2 linked regions of the Oreochromis niloticus genome follow. The protein of the gene in region 1 purifies or fractionates together with the protein of each later gene. This does not show direct contact. Links are inferred from orthologs where the notes say so. Each region holds a gene or a part of one and is shown on either strand. Other genes may lie near its edges.

Region 1 (7,301 bases):
ATCACACACATTTCTTTCAAGTGCAACTGTTCTCCTTGGATATGTCTTCTTCTGTTCAGTGCAGGATAAAAGTCACCTCAAGGTGCTTTATCATTGCAGGGTAGAGACTCAACAAAAATAAAGAGAAAACTTTTTAGATGACCAAAAATGAATAAACACTTGGCGACAGTGGGAAAGAAAAACTCCTTTTTAAGAGGAAGAAACATCAGATAAAACAAGACCAGGGAGGAACAACTTGCAATGACCAGTTGGGGAGGAGGGGGAAAAAAGAGCAGAAAAAGATGTGAGAAAAGACTTGACTCACATTAAGAAGGTGAATTTCATAGCCATAAATATTCTTAAGATAAATGTGTCAGATAAATGTTTCTCATACAATTCTTCTTAACAAATGATCAAAATTACTAAAATATGACCAGTAATACATTTCAAGCATTTGTGGCAGATGGCTGCCGCTCCCTGAGTCTGGTTTCTTCCTGTTTAAAGGAGGTTTTTCCTTCCCACTGTTGCCAATTGCTTGCTCATAGGAGGTGGTCTACTTGTTGGGGTTTCTCTCTATTATGGTAGGGTCTTTACCTTTACCTTACAATATAAAGCGCCTTGGCATGACTGTTTTTATGATTTGGCTAAATAAATAAAACTGAATTGAATTGAATAGTTTACGTCCTGCATCTGAGTGTAAATTGTGACTGCACAGTTTATGATGTATATAAAGGCTAGTGGGTAAGATGAAACACAATTTTATTTCTACATTGTGGCTCATTTTGGATAACATCTTTCAAAAACTAAAGGACTACACCTATGGTTGCAGCAACCAAACATCACCAAGTAGACCAATGTTATCCTTACTACGCCTGTGCCCCTCCTCTTCCTCTCTGCTCAGTGTGTGTTTTTGTCACTGTGACACACAAATTGGGGGCAGAGGATGAGCAGAGGACAGGCAGGTACACATGCATCAGCTCTGAAACAGAGCAGGAAAAAAAAGCTGCTCAGCCTCAGCTTGCAATGTGGCTCCTTAGGCCTGCTACATATGAAACTTTCACTATCTGAATGCAAATTGTTATTTTTTAATGATTAACTAAGTTAAAACAAAACAAAAAGAAATTTTGAGGAGCAATGTAACCAGAGGAGCAGCTCTGCAGCAGGGCATTACATGAATTTACGACGTGTGAAATGTTTCCTTTGTTCCTCCCTGTGGCAGCTTGCTCCGGGCAATTAGAGAAGGCAGTGACCTGAAGTGAGCTCGTTACCCCCACAACCTATCATCAGCCCACATAATTTTTGTTCAGTATGATATGATTGACTGGAAATCTTTTCATATGCTCTTTTTCAGCTCTTGCAGTAACACGGGGTTAGTGGTAACATGCAAGTAGCTTTTGCCTTCTGCATTTCCAGCTTAAATAGCTGTTAGAAGTGTAATTTATCATCATGTTTTCCCAGTATTGTGGTAAAATCTTACACCAAGCCGTGGCACCTTGCCAAAGTCTAAATTGCTCCACACTTCTTCTTTTTTTTCTGGGCACTCGGCCCCTGAAATAAACTCCATTTGCCATTCCATTTTGCAAACCAATTTGAGATGTAGGGTGGGGGCAGGAAAGGGAGAGGTATAGGTTAGCTGTAGTAATAACCATAAATCACCTCTGAAATGCGGCCATGTCACATGCCACACTGCACCACTAATGACCGGACCCATCTTTCACCGGGTATTTTTATCTGTGTGCCCTGACACTCGACTTCTGGAATCGTCCTCTCGTTTTACGTCGTCAGCACCTCGGCCAGGACTGAGCACAAGTTCCTCACATATCTATAAATACCAGCCAGCTAAATGGCATTTTCTCTCAACCCACCCCCTGCTTGGCAAGAACCGGGAGCTCTGTGACTTGGCACACAGGCTCACAGTCCTACGCCACGAAACATCTTGGGGCTTAGCCCCCCCGCACCCCACCCCAGCGTCACCCTCCAGAGAACAGCTGGCCAAAAAAATAGATCCATCTGCCACTGCCTTCAAATTCCAAAGTGGTCTCAGTTTAATTGAAAAAGCGTCAATCGGGCTTCACAAAATCGTGTAAAACATGACAAATATTGGCACACTGGGTCTGCTTTAGGCCGCCTGTTGGATTAACTCGTTAGACTGCTGATGTAGCTGAAGCATTAACATACTGTACGTCAGCGCATGTCGGCTCATACGCTCAGGCAGACTCACACACACCGAGAGGAACACACAAACACCTGTACATGCTTCCTTTGTGCAGAATGTTCTGCCAAGTTTTTTAAGCTTGCTGACATGCGGCACTAGAGACTGCAGTTCAGCAACAGCTTCTTGCTATTCTGGGATGTGTCACAGCACGAGGTTTTAATTCATTCTGCCAGAATGTGTCAATCACTTAGCAGCGGGGTCCAGGCCTGGGTTCTGCTGCTGGACTGAGAAGCAGGAAGGCACAACAGGCTAGGCCTTATTAAAGGAGTCAAACAAGGATTCAACTAAACTGTGCTATTCATAGACTTTCTTCAGAGGTGGGGTGTTAGAGGGGATGAGCGGGTAGCACAGGTGAAACAGACTGACACATACACAACAACAAGTTGGCTGTTTACATAGTTTAAACTAGGTGACAAATAAGAAAATGAGACTGATATTTCCAAGTCTTTATATTAAAAGAGAGTGGGGGTACTAGTCACAGAGCACGGTGTTTCACCTCCTTTCAAGATAACACTCTAAGTCTATTTTATAAGCCTTTTTTTTAAATTGCTGTGTATTTGAGAGTAAATGCAACTACAGCTTTCTCTTTCTTCTACCGTCAGGGTACCATTTGCCATGCAAGTTCCTGTACACAAGCCATGCCAAGGGTTTGAATTTGACCCGCCCAATGCGGTGCCAAAACACACATATCAGTCATCATGCGATGTCATGCCAGCTACAAATGGCATCAAATGACTTTGCACTACTTATCCTGTCCAATTCCATGTGATAAATGATGAAAAAGTTGAATTGTGCAGCAGTGTGACTTTGGAAGATGACAGACCTCATTTCTGTGCCCTGTCATTTGGTGATCACTGTAAAAAATGAACATCGTGAAAGCGGCTATGAAACTTAATGTGAGATACCTTCTGAGGGTGATTAATGTCTTTCTGTTCTTACCCACAAACATAAAGACTTCCATTAGAAGTTATAGTTTTGGTAAAGGGCTGCTCCCACTTTCCTGCCTTTGCTTTAGGGCGACTTTGACTTTTTGTCTCTGGGATTGCCAGTTAAACTGCCAGCCAGTCCAACGAGGAACATTTTTTTGTTTTTTAGTGTTTGTGCAAAGCATTTGAAACCACGGAAACTTTGGCTCTTTTCATCTTACATAATATTACCAAGAAAACTTTGCACATAAACAAAGATTGTGTGTTTGTGAGTGGGTGTATGCGAGGGATAGTAAAAGAAAGTAGTGCAAAGCATGTTTCCCTTTCTTGTATCTGTGTGTGTGTGAGTGGGAGTCTGTGTGGGCATGCGTGTGTGAACATTAACAGGATCTCTAAAGCAACAATCAGCGATCAGTCAGAGTGGTCGCTGACATCACGATCTTAAATAAATGACAGCATGGTAAAAGAGCGCTGATCCGAAGCCAGCGGGGCCCAACAGTCGGAGAATCCATAAGCCATAACAAACAATATTTCAAATAAACAGAACCCATGGCCAAGCCTGTCATCTTTCTGGGGCGTCTCCAAAACAGTCCTGTCTGACTTTACTCTCATGCTGTTTTCTGTTTGTTTTTTCGTTACATCTCCAGCGTGTTTTCTGGCATGCTTGTCCTCTGTCCGATCCCCTGCCTGTAACTGTATACAGATTAACCACCACATTTTCCCTCTGTGTGTTTGCATAAGTTTGCATTTTTGCCTTTCATGTTTACTTATGTACTGTGTATTTTTAAAAAGCTCACTTTCTAGGGATGTTGTTTTTTTGCTATACAAATACAGTAAAAGGTATATATATATATATATATATGTATTTGATATACAAGTTTTTTCTGAATCCTTTATAATACTGGATTAATGAACTAATTGGAAACCAGATAGACAGATTCATAGATGTTTTTGCTCCAGTGGGATATATAAAACTGTGAGCACATCATTTGGGCCAAACTATTAATAAGAAATCATTTTGGTCCCCTCCACCCCACCCCACTCTGAACCCCATTACTTCTTTGGACTCTTGCCCGGTAGTATCCGCATGGCAGCTGGACGCATGCGCAGGAGCAATCTTCATCAGCAATGTCCCATGCCTCTGAACAGCCTGGTGCTCAAACTTGGACGCGGACTGAAAATAATGTTGTTTCCCGCGGGGGCGAGCGTTCCGGTCACCGAAAGCGAGCCTCGGGACTCGTGTTTGAGTTTGTAAAATTGTTTTAAGGACTCCGAATAACTCATCGGCTTGTTTTTGGACTCTTGCTGATAATGGTAAGCAGTAGCTGAGTGTTTTGATCCCGGTCAGTGACAGCCTGCAGACGGCAGGGAGAGCTGTGCGGCGATCACGCTGTACTTGATTATGAGCGCTCGCAAGAAGTGAAGAGAATCTGGGAGCTGATTTCTTGCTGGGACGACAATACTTTTAACACAGGTATGTTTAAACTAGTTTGTGTTTTTCCCAGACGGCTGTGGCTTTATTATTAGACACTTAAATTGTAGGTCAGGTGGCAGAAGCGAGAAAACTGTCATGGTTTTGTTGAGTTTGATTAATTCCGATTTCAAAACATTTATATATATAAAAAAATCTGTAAAATGTATCAGTAACAATTAAAGGAATTATCCTCCATCAAAGAGTGACAGACTCCAGTTTTCTATAATATTATTACTAATATAAGTCTTTACTTTACCTTATTGTTGTTGTAAGGCCAGTGCATGCCCGTTAATAACAGTGATGTGTTAAGTGTGTGTCCATTTTTCTCAGACTTCATCCCAGCCCCGGAATCTCGGCTCACCGATAGATTACCTGATATTATACAAGTGGACAAAAAATAATATTAATAAAGATTTAGTGGTTGCTGTAATTTTTTGCTGAAACATGGCGAAATGACGTCAGATCCTTCCTTGTAAAATTGAATAGTTGTGCAAAAGGTTTTTCGTATTAAAAAGAAAAGAATGATAAAATTACAGTGATTATTTTTTTGTCATACATCAATCTTTAACTGCAGGTCAGTGCGGTCCATCCTTTTTTCCCCTCTCAGTTTGTGGACACATGAAGGAGTTTAGTCCCCTTGGTGTCCCCTCAGTTCTCAGTCTCCATCCCTCCGCGTGTCCACGGCTTTTTCTCTCCATCTCGCCTCTCATCCCACGTGGAGTTTGTGTTTATATTTGATATGTAGGAAATGGGAATCTTATACCACTGCCGGGCTCTCAGGGCTTGAATGGCCCCTGGCTATTGGCCTGCCTCTAACAACATGACAAGTTACACGCCGACTCAAAATCTGATAGGGGCCTACTGCTCCGTAATCCATACAGATTAGATTTCACATTAAGGGCTCATACTTAAACAACGTGCATTAATGCGCAAGATTTAGAGTGTGGAGAATTTCTGGAAAATTGTAAACTACTGCACTGGCCTTCTATCTCATTTTACATTACGGCTCGGTTATTCTAAGGCTGATAATCTCACCAGAAATGTGAAATATTTAGAATTAAATATTTTAATGCAGCCAAAGGGGATTTGTGGGTGTTGGCGTTTGCTAGTATATTTAAATTTTTTCAATGTGTTTTGTTTTTTTTGTAATTATTGTTAATTTGTTTATTTGTTAATTAGAGGCCATTTTAAGGCATTAAATAATCCCGTATATATATACTGTATTTCACACGTCACATTTGTTTCTATTTATTCATTATATTTGTCCTCTAGTGGGAGAACTCTAAGAGTATCCGTTTCATTATCTGGAAACTGTTTTAGGAGTAGAACCCTGTCCCGAAACGGGGAGGGCTGCAAAACACACTGTTTTATCCCTTTTAAAATGACCAGAATAAAGAACAGCATCGCACTCTTACATTTTCTAAGTCTTTTTTTGTACTTAAAAAAAAATAACTCTTATATGTATATCGTATTGTTTATAGAAATGTTGCGTTAGGCCTAAACCTGCCTAGCAGAAAAGATTTTATTATCTTCATGTCAGGTAATGTGCGGTTCATCTTTATTTTATTTTTATTAATTAATTTATTAATTTATTTTTTAACTTTTTAGGTTAAAAACAAATGTAAATATTGACCATTTAAACGTCAGAGGCCTTAGGGATTTTTTTTTTTTTATGTAAACAGTTTAAATTTTGCACAGACTAATCCTTAACTGGTAATCTTGGAAACTGCTCGTGTCATTTAAAGATCGATAGCTGCATATAAGCGATTGCTAAGACAGCGAGGTTAAAGTCGAATTTAACATGTGACTTTTCACTGCAGTCCCTCCGACCAGCAGCAGTCTGCGGTTTGTTCAACATTCTCCTTCCTTCGGCTTTTATAGCGTGAAATTACCGCAGTGTAGCTATTTGGTCCACTTTCTAACCCTCCGCCGTCCCATATGTGTTTCTTATGTCGCTGTCAATAGCCATAGTGAGAAATATAATTCTCTCTTCTGGGACGCCGAAGGAAATGGCAGGCACTATTGATTCCCTGTTTAGTGTCAGGTAACTGCTGGGTGGGTTTTAGGGCCGTGCAGGACAGCTGGGGCAGATAGACAGCATCATTTAATAAGAATTAGTCTGACATTTAAAAAAAAAAGAAAAAAAAAAGCAACATCCCCTTTTAATCAGCAAAACTCCCTTTAGGTCAGCTGCTGCATATTTGTGCTATAGTTTAACAAAATAAAAAAATAAATAAAAAAGGAAAACTAAGACAAATGCTCCATTACAAGCATGAAGTAAACTTTGCTCTTTGTGGGTTTACTGCCCATCACGTTTCCGCTAAAGAAGAATAAATCATGAAGGGAAGGGTGAAACCCAGCCAGATCGAATAGAAGGCTGATTATGTCCTCCACAAAGGTGAGAGAGAGGAGGAGAGGGCGGGAGGGAGAGAGAGGGTGAGGGTGGGGGTTGAGGGAAGCAGGGAGGCTTGGGCACAAATCAATTCACCTGAGAGACGCATTATTGTCTTCGGTTTCAGGCTAGGAGGAGCTGAGCGCTATGAAAAATTAAAAGGATGCCAGTTAGTTTAAAGGATCGAGCCAGAAAACTCCACAGTACACACACACGCAAACACACTCGGCAACAAAATGCTGCTCAGATAGAGGAACAACTTGGAGTGCCCCAATTTTATGCTCATACCTGTCCATATTTTAGGAAAACCATTTT
Region 2 (6,428 bases), on another chromosome or scaffold:
TAACAACATTGTTTACCAAAAAAAGGCATCTGTAAAACACAGTTTAGGCTGTCATGGTTTGGGGTTGCAGCCAGTGGTGTGGGGGGATGTTGTCATAATTGATGGAAGTATGAACGCAGAAAAGTATCATAGGATTTTGATTTACTATGTGATACACCTGGAAAGTATCTGATAGGCAACAGCTTCATTTTTTAGTATAAAAATGATCCCAAACAATGTCAGTGCAGCAAAAGCATATTTGGATAGAAAAACACACATATCACATGGAAAGGTCTTACCAGAACCCAGGCCTCAACATTATTGAAGCAGTGTAGGATCATCTTGACAGAGAACAGAACAAAAGGCAGACCACTTTCAAAGAAGAGCTTTAAATGTCCTTGAAGAAACCTGGAGAACTATTCCTGAAGATTACTTAAAGAAATTACAAGAAAGCTGCCTAAGAGAGTTCAGACTGTGCTGAAAAATAAAGACGATCATAATATGGACATTAAGATTGGCAGAATTATACAAACTGTTTTACAGGATCCTTTTATCCTTACTTCACTTAACCTTTTGTTTGTGAGTGTGGGAAACTTCCACATGATTAGTGTCTTAGAAAGAAGTTTATTTATAAAAAAAAAAAAAAAAAAAAAAAAAGGGAAAAAAAAGGGGAAAAAAAGGATGGATTGTAACTGCACTTTATTACAGCCCAAATAAAAACGTCCTGGTTTATGGACGTAACTTGGCTTTTCATGAATAATAAGACATTATTGAATCTGCGATGTTTCATAAATTGTCAAAAAAAAAAAAAAAAAAAAAAAAAAAAAAAAACTGAACAAAGTGGACACCAAGATTAGCTGGCATGCGATTGAAATCAAAACATCAATTAAGATACCTGCTTAATCAACTGCAGGTTGGTTAACAGATTACTAATCCAGTTTTATCCTTTAAAAGAAAATGTGATAAAAACATCCAAATTTGAAGAATATACTGATACATTTGGATGGAAAAAAGAGACAAGACTGTCAGTCTGGCACTGATCAACACTCCACTCCGTGGTGACACTGGAGCCAATCTAAATAACTTAAAATGTTTAGTGACAAATAAACCCCCGAAAGGCGATGCGCAACAGTCCCACCTTAAACTAACCGAGGCACAGTGAAGGTCAGACTAAAACTCAGGACTTAAAAGTGAACTTCAGTGAAAGCCAACATATTCCTTTAGTTCGGACAACTCCCAGATAACACAACAGTTGAAGGTTTTCGTGGTTTCCTAACATGTAAACCCAGAAAATGTCATTTAAACCGAGCTGTGATTGTGCAGCGTTTGTGGGTCTTTGTTAAACAGCAGCAGTTCCAGCAAACACACTACTCCCGTGCTCTCCTCCTCCTCCATCAGTCTTTATACTCTGTGTACTTCTTGGCCGACCCCTGCACTTTGCTGGCGGGGTATTTCAGACGGTTTAGAGCCATTTTACGGAGCACCGCTTGCGGGAGGTCCACGCGACACTTCTCGGCCAGTTCCACGAGGTAGATCAACACGTCGCTGAGCTCGTGCGCCAGCTGCTCCCGCTCTGTCTCGGTCCAGTCCGGCAGGCCCTTGGCTACCTCCCCCTTCCACTGGAAGAGCTCTGCCACCTCGCCCACTTCCCCGACCATGGCCAGGAGAAGGTTGCGGGGCTGGTGAAACTGGTTCCAGTCCCGCTCGTCCGTAAAATCGGCCTGCATGCGCCGAATATCCTCGATGGAGGGCTCGGAGCTGAAGGTGAACCTCTGCGGCCGCTTCGACTGCGGCGACGCCTCTGCGCCATCTCCGTTTACCGCAGCTGTGTGCGCCTCTTCTTTGACCCCACACGCGTCTTTTCCGTTTGTTGCCATCATTTTCTGTGTGTTTAAACAACCTCCGAGGTTTGTAAACAACCCGCAGCTTTCCTATCCAGTGAAGAAGTCCCGCCAGTTCTCAAAGCGGAAATGATGCCTCTTTAGTCGGAAGCTGGAAAATACACAATGCTGGGGCTTGTAGTTTTAAACCACAGCTAGCGGCGAAGTAGCGTACTAACTGCTACTTCAAATAAAACTACAATTCCCGTGTTTGTCAGAGCAGCGACACCAACATGGCTGCCTCCTGTGTTGCAGCAAGTGAGCTGCTCAATAATATAAAACAAATATCAGTCTTGTGTCCAAAGGCTTCGTACGCAGTTAGGGCCGTGAGCACCTCAAGCCCACAGTGCCACGCTCAACTCCCGCAGAGGGCACGAAGGTAAGAAAGGGTGGTGGGTTATTGTGTATGCGTGTGTTTATCGTCTCTGACCTGCAGGTTAACCTGCATGTTGCCTTGGTGTTGAGCTGTAATAATACTTCTCTAGGGTCTTCTTATTAACAGCAGCCGGGTGAGAAAAGTCTTCTCAGCCTTCACTTGTCTTGTCACTCGCAGCCTTCACTTGTCAGCCTGGTAAAAAACACTGCAGACAAAAGAACATTACTGCGTATGCGACATGATTCACGATTTCATCAACAAAATACGCCCTGAACATTATGCATTCATGTGGTCGAACAGCTTAATATGCGCTTATTAGTCTTTTAAACGACATTTGGAGTATAAGCTTTATCTTGTGGCTCGGTTAAAAACTGTTAGCAGAGGATGGTTTCGATCCATCGACCTCTGGGTTATGGGCCCAGCACGCTTCCGCTGCGCCACTCTGCTGTGTGGTTTTGAAGGTGATACAAATAGAAGGCAGGTCTAGTGGCTGAGCTAACGGTGCAAAGATTTTCTTAGGGCTTGACCTAAGATAGATAAGGAATAGTAGAGGAGAGAAAATGGATGAAAATCAGTAGACGCAAGATAGAACATCTGTGCATGCAAGAGAGGTACAGCAGGTGCAACAGTAAAGCTGCAGGAAGCAGAGGTAAAGAAGTTGGGGTCAACCAAAGCAAAGGACAACGCTCAAGAGAGGTGAAGAAAAAAGTGCAGGCAGGGTGGAGGAGTAGAGATGAGTGTCAGGAAGGGATTTATGACACAAGGATAGCAGCAAGATTGAAGGGAAGGTTTACGAGATGGTAGTGGGATGTATGATGTATGGTTTGGAGACGGTATCATTGACAAAAAGACAGGAGGCCGAGCTGGAGGTGTTTAGATTTCCTTTGTGAGTGACCAGAACGGACTGGATTAGAAATGAGTTCAGTTCAAGTTTTACCATTTTGGAGACAAAGTTTGAGAGTCGAGGCCGAGGTGGTTTAGATATGTACAGAGTGACCGAGATAGTGGATACAATGGACAAAGGATGTTAAAGATGGAGCTGCCAGGCACGACCACGGAGAAGATTCATGGAGGTAGTGAAGGAGGACATGCTGAGGGTTGTTGTGACCAAGGAAGGTGTTAGCGAAAGGGTGAGGTGGAGGCAGATCCAGTGTTGTGACCCCTAAAGAACAAATGTGTTAAAAAGTTAAAAAACTACCATCATAGTTTCAGTTTAAGTATGGTTATGTACCAGATTTTTACTACTCCCTGGAGACTCAACCGGTTGCCTTGGATCAAATAAAATGTCGTGTTACTTTTATTCTACTTAAATAGTTCCCTTTCATGTGGCTTTATGCTTCTAGCCCAATTTAAAATTAGTTTTTTTTTCTCTTTACTCTCTTTCATGTAAAAGCTATAGAGCAGCTAAGAAAAAAAACATACATTGTGTGTCTATATTAGATAAAGGATGTTGAATATGAGACTACAGAGAAAATTCATGCGTGTAATGAAGGAGGACATTTAGAGACCTGGTGATACCAGGGGGTGCCTTTTGCTAAGCATAGGCGATGTTGTCTTTATCAGTTTTATTTAGCTTTTCAAAGGGTTAAAGCAACAGTACAGACAGCAGTCTGTGTGCTTTTGTCCATAGAGATACTCGAAGAGACAAGTGATCCATCTGCCAATGTGAAAGATTACACGGAGACAGAGTAAGACAATATGGAGCCTTTCATTCAGGACGCTCACCAAGCCTCTTACATCTGTGGCAGAAATCATGTTACTGTCGTGGAGTGTATCATACATCAAATGCAGGCTGTGTCTGACTAACAGGATGCCACGAGTTAAACAGATTAATGCAGACAGACATTTTAAGCTTTTCATCTCTGAGGAGTGCTTTAGGATTGCGTGCATGTTTCAGCTGAGAGAAACTACACAATATCAGTCCACTATGTACCAGTCACACTCCTTTAGGATATTAAATCAAGGCTACAACATAATGCAATTTCCATAACTACTGTATAGGGTTTTTACTTTGCAGTATAAGCACCTTAAGGCAATTGTGGTTGTGGTTTGGCACTATATAAGTAAAACTGAGGGCAGCGCCTCACAGCAAGAAGGTCCTGAGTTCAATTCCACCATCAGGCCAGGGTCTTTCTGTGTGGAGTTAAGATAAGATAAGATAAAACTTTATTAATCCCTCGGGTGGGTTCCTCTGGGAAATTCGGTTTCCAAAAAGCACAGCACCGACAGAAGTTACAGAGCGTGAGCATAATATTATATATTTATACACATATATAAATACAGAGACATATATAAATAAAATATACGAAGGGGATAAATAGAATAAATAGAAATAAGAATACAAGTGAATTGCACATTTCAAGTATTGAAGTCTATTGCACCGTTGACTATTAACAAAAAGTATTGCACAAAAAGTATTGCACAGTGAAGTGAAGAGGCACTACAGCTTAGTTGTTCCCCCCTCCTTTGTCCTCCTGTTTCCCCTCCCTCTCCCCTCCAGAGAGGAGTTAAACAGTCTGATGGCGTGTGGGACAAAGGAGTTTTTAAGTCTGTTGGTTCTTGTCTTTGGGAGAAGCAACCTGTCACTGAACAGACTCTTCTGGCTGTTTATGGCCGTGTGCAGAGGATGCCCAGCATTGTCCATAATGTCCAGCAGTTTTTTTTAGTGTCCTTCTCTCTGCCACTGACACCAGAGTGTCCAGCTTTGTGCCGACCACAGAGCTAGCCTTCCTGATCAGTTTTTCCAGCCTGGATGAGTCCTTCTTTGCTGTGCTGCTCCCCCAGCACACTACAGCATAGAAAAGTACTCCAGCAACCACTGACTGGTAAAACATCCTCAGGAGCTTCCTGCAGATGTTAAAAGACCTCAGCCTCCTGAGGAAGTACAGTCGGCTTTGGGCTTTTTTATACAGGTGCTCTGTGTTGCATGACCAGTCCAGTTTGTTGTCCACCCACAGCCCGAGGTACTTGTACTTGTTGACCACCTCCACCTCCTCCCCCTCTATCTGAACCGGCAGTGGACCTTCTCTGGACCTCCCGAAGTCCACAACCAGTTCCTTAGTCTTTGAGATGTTGAGTTGCAGGTGGTTTGTGTGACTCTATGCGACAAAGTTCGTCACCAGACTTCTGTACTCCTCTTCCTGATTATCCCAGATACACCCCATGATGGCTGTGTCATCTGCAAACTTCTGAATATGGCATAATTCAGAGTTGTAGCAGAAGTCAGAGGTGTACAGGGTGAAGAGAAGAGGGGACAGCACAGTTCCCTGTGGTGGTCCTGTGCTGCTGACCACAGTGTCAGACATGATGTCCTTCAGCCTGACGTACTGTGGTCTGTCAGTGAGGTAGTCGGAGATCCAAGCGACCAGGCAGGGGTCCACCTCCATCCTGTTCAGTTTTTCCTGGAGCATACAGGGCCGGATGGTATTAAAGGCACTGGAAAAGTCAAGAGTTTGCATGTTCTCCCCGTGTTTGCGTGGGTTCTCCGGCTTCCTCCCACAGTTCAAAGACATGCACTTAGTGGGGATAGGTTAATTGAAAAATCTAAAATGCCCATAGGTGTGAATGCAGGAGTGAATGTGAGTGCGAATGGTTGTCTGTCCCTGTGTGTTAGCCCTGTGACAGACTGGCGACCTGTCCAGGGCGTACCCCACCTCTCACCCTATGACAGCTGGGATAGACTCCAGCACCCCCCGTGACCCTGAAAAGGATAAGCGGAAGCGAATGGATGGATAAGTAAAACTGAATTGAATTGAATTGAACATCAAATTGCCACCTGAGTAGAACATCTGTTGTGGCGCAGACATCGAGCTTTCCTACTAGTTTTTCTCAGTGATCACAGATACAAACGAAAAGAATTGCAGCCACCATTACAAAGAAGATTATTATTTACTCTCTCTGTTAGGATTATATTTCATTCAGATGATTGATAAAAAATCCTCAGTGCCTGAAAGTGAGCTTAACTTTCATATCGTCAGGACACCATGACAGTACCAAGAAACTGTAAGTGGGACCAGAAGTGGAAATACTAACTTTTCAAAAGCAAACCCAGAAACTGAACAGCTGTTTTGACTCGTGCTGTGCCGTTCATTCATCTTTGAGTCTGTTATGGCATGTTTCAAGTTTTTATTAATGAACTGAGAAAGTGTAGTTTCATAAAGTTGTGTCATTTGCAGCTGACCCACATTTGTTCC

What was found.
Region 2: the proteins of eya4 (region 1) and dctpp1 purify together in Homo sapiens (affinity purification with mass spectrometry; 3 studies listed by BioGRID and IntAct, with this or other methods). This does not show direct contact. The link is inferred for Oreochromis niloticus from reciprocal best matches to the Homo sapiens genes EYA4 and DCTPP1.

The regions. Positions count from the first base shown.
Region 1 is NC_031980.2:8,189,932-8,197,232, forward strand, and holds the start of eya4 (protein phosphatase EYA4), read left to right. Parts: upstream 1-4,231; 5' UTR 4,232-4,594; intron 4,595-7,301. UniProt on the Homo sapiens protein: Tyrosine phosphatase that specifically dephosphorylates 'Tyr-142' of histone H2AX (H2AXY142ph). 'Tyr-142' phosphorylation of histone H2AX plays a central role in DNA repair and acts as a mark that distinguishes between apoptotic and repair responses to genotoxic stress.
Region 2 is NC_031971.2:15,530,014-15,536,441, forward strand, and holds dctpp1 (glutamyl-tRNA(Gln) amidotransferase subunit B, mitochondrial), read right to left. Parts: upstream 1,928-6,428; 5' UTR 1,860-1,927; coding exon 1,374-1,859; 3' UTR 662-1,373; downstream 1-661. Other genes in the region: gatb (glutamyl-tRNA(Gln) amidotransferase subunit B, mitochondrial), read left to right, coding at 2,093-2,238. UniProt on the Homo sapiens protein: Hydrolyzes deoxynucleoside triphosphates (dNTPs) to the corresponding nucleoside monophosphates. Has a strong preference for dCTP and its analogs including 5-iodo-dCTP and 5-methyl-dCTP for which it may even have a higher efficiency.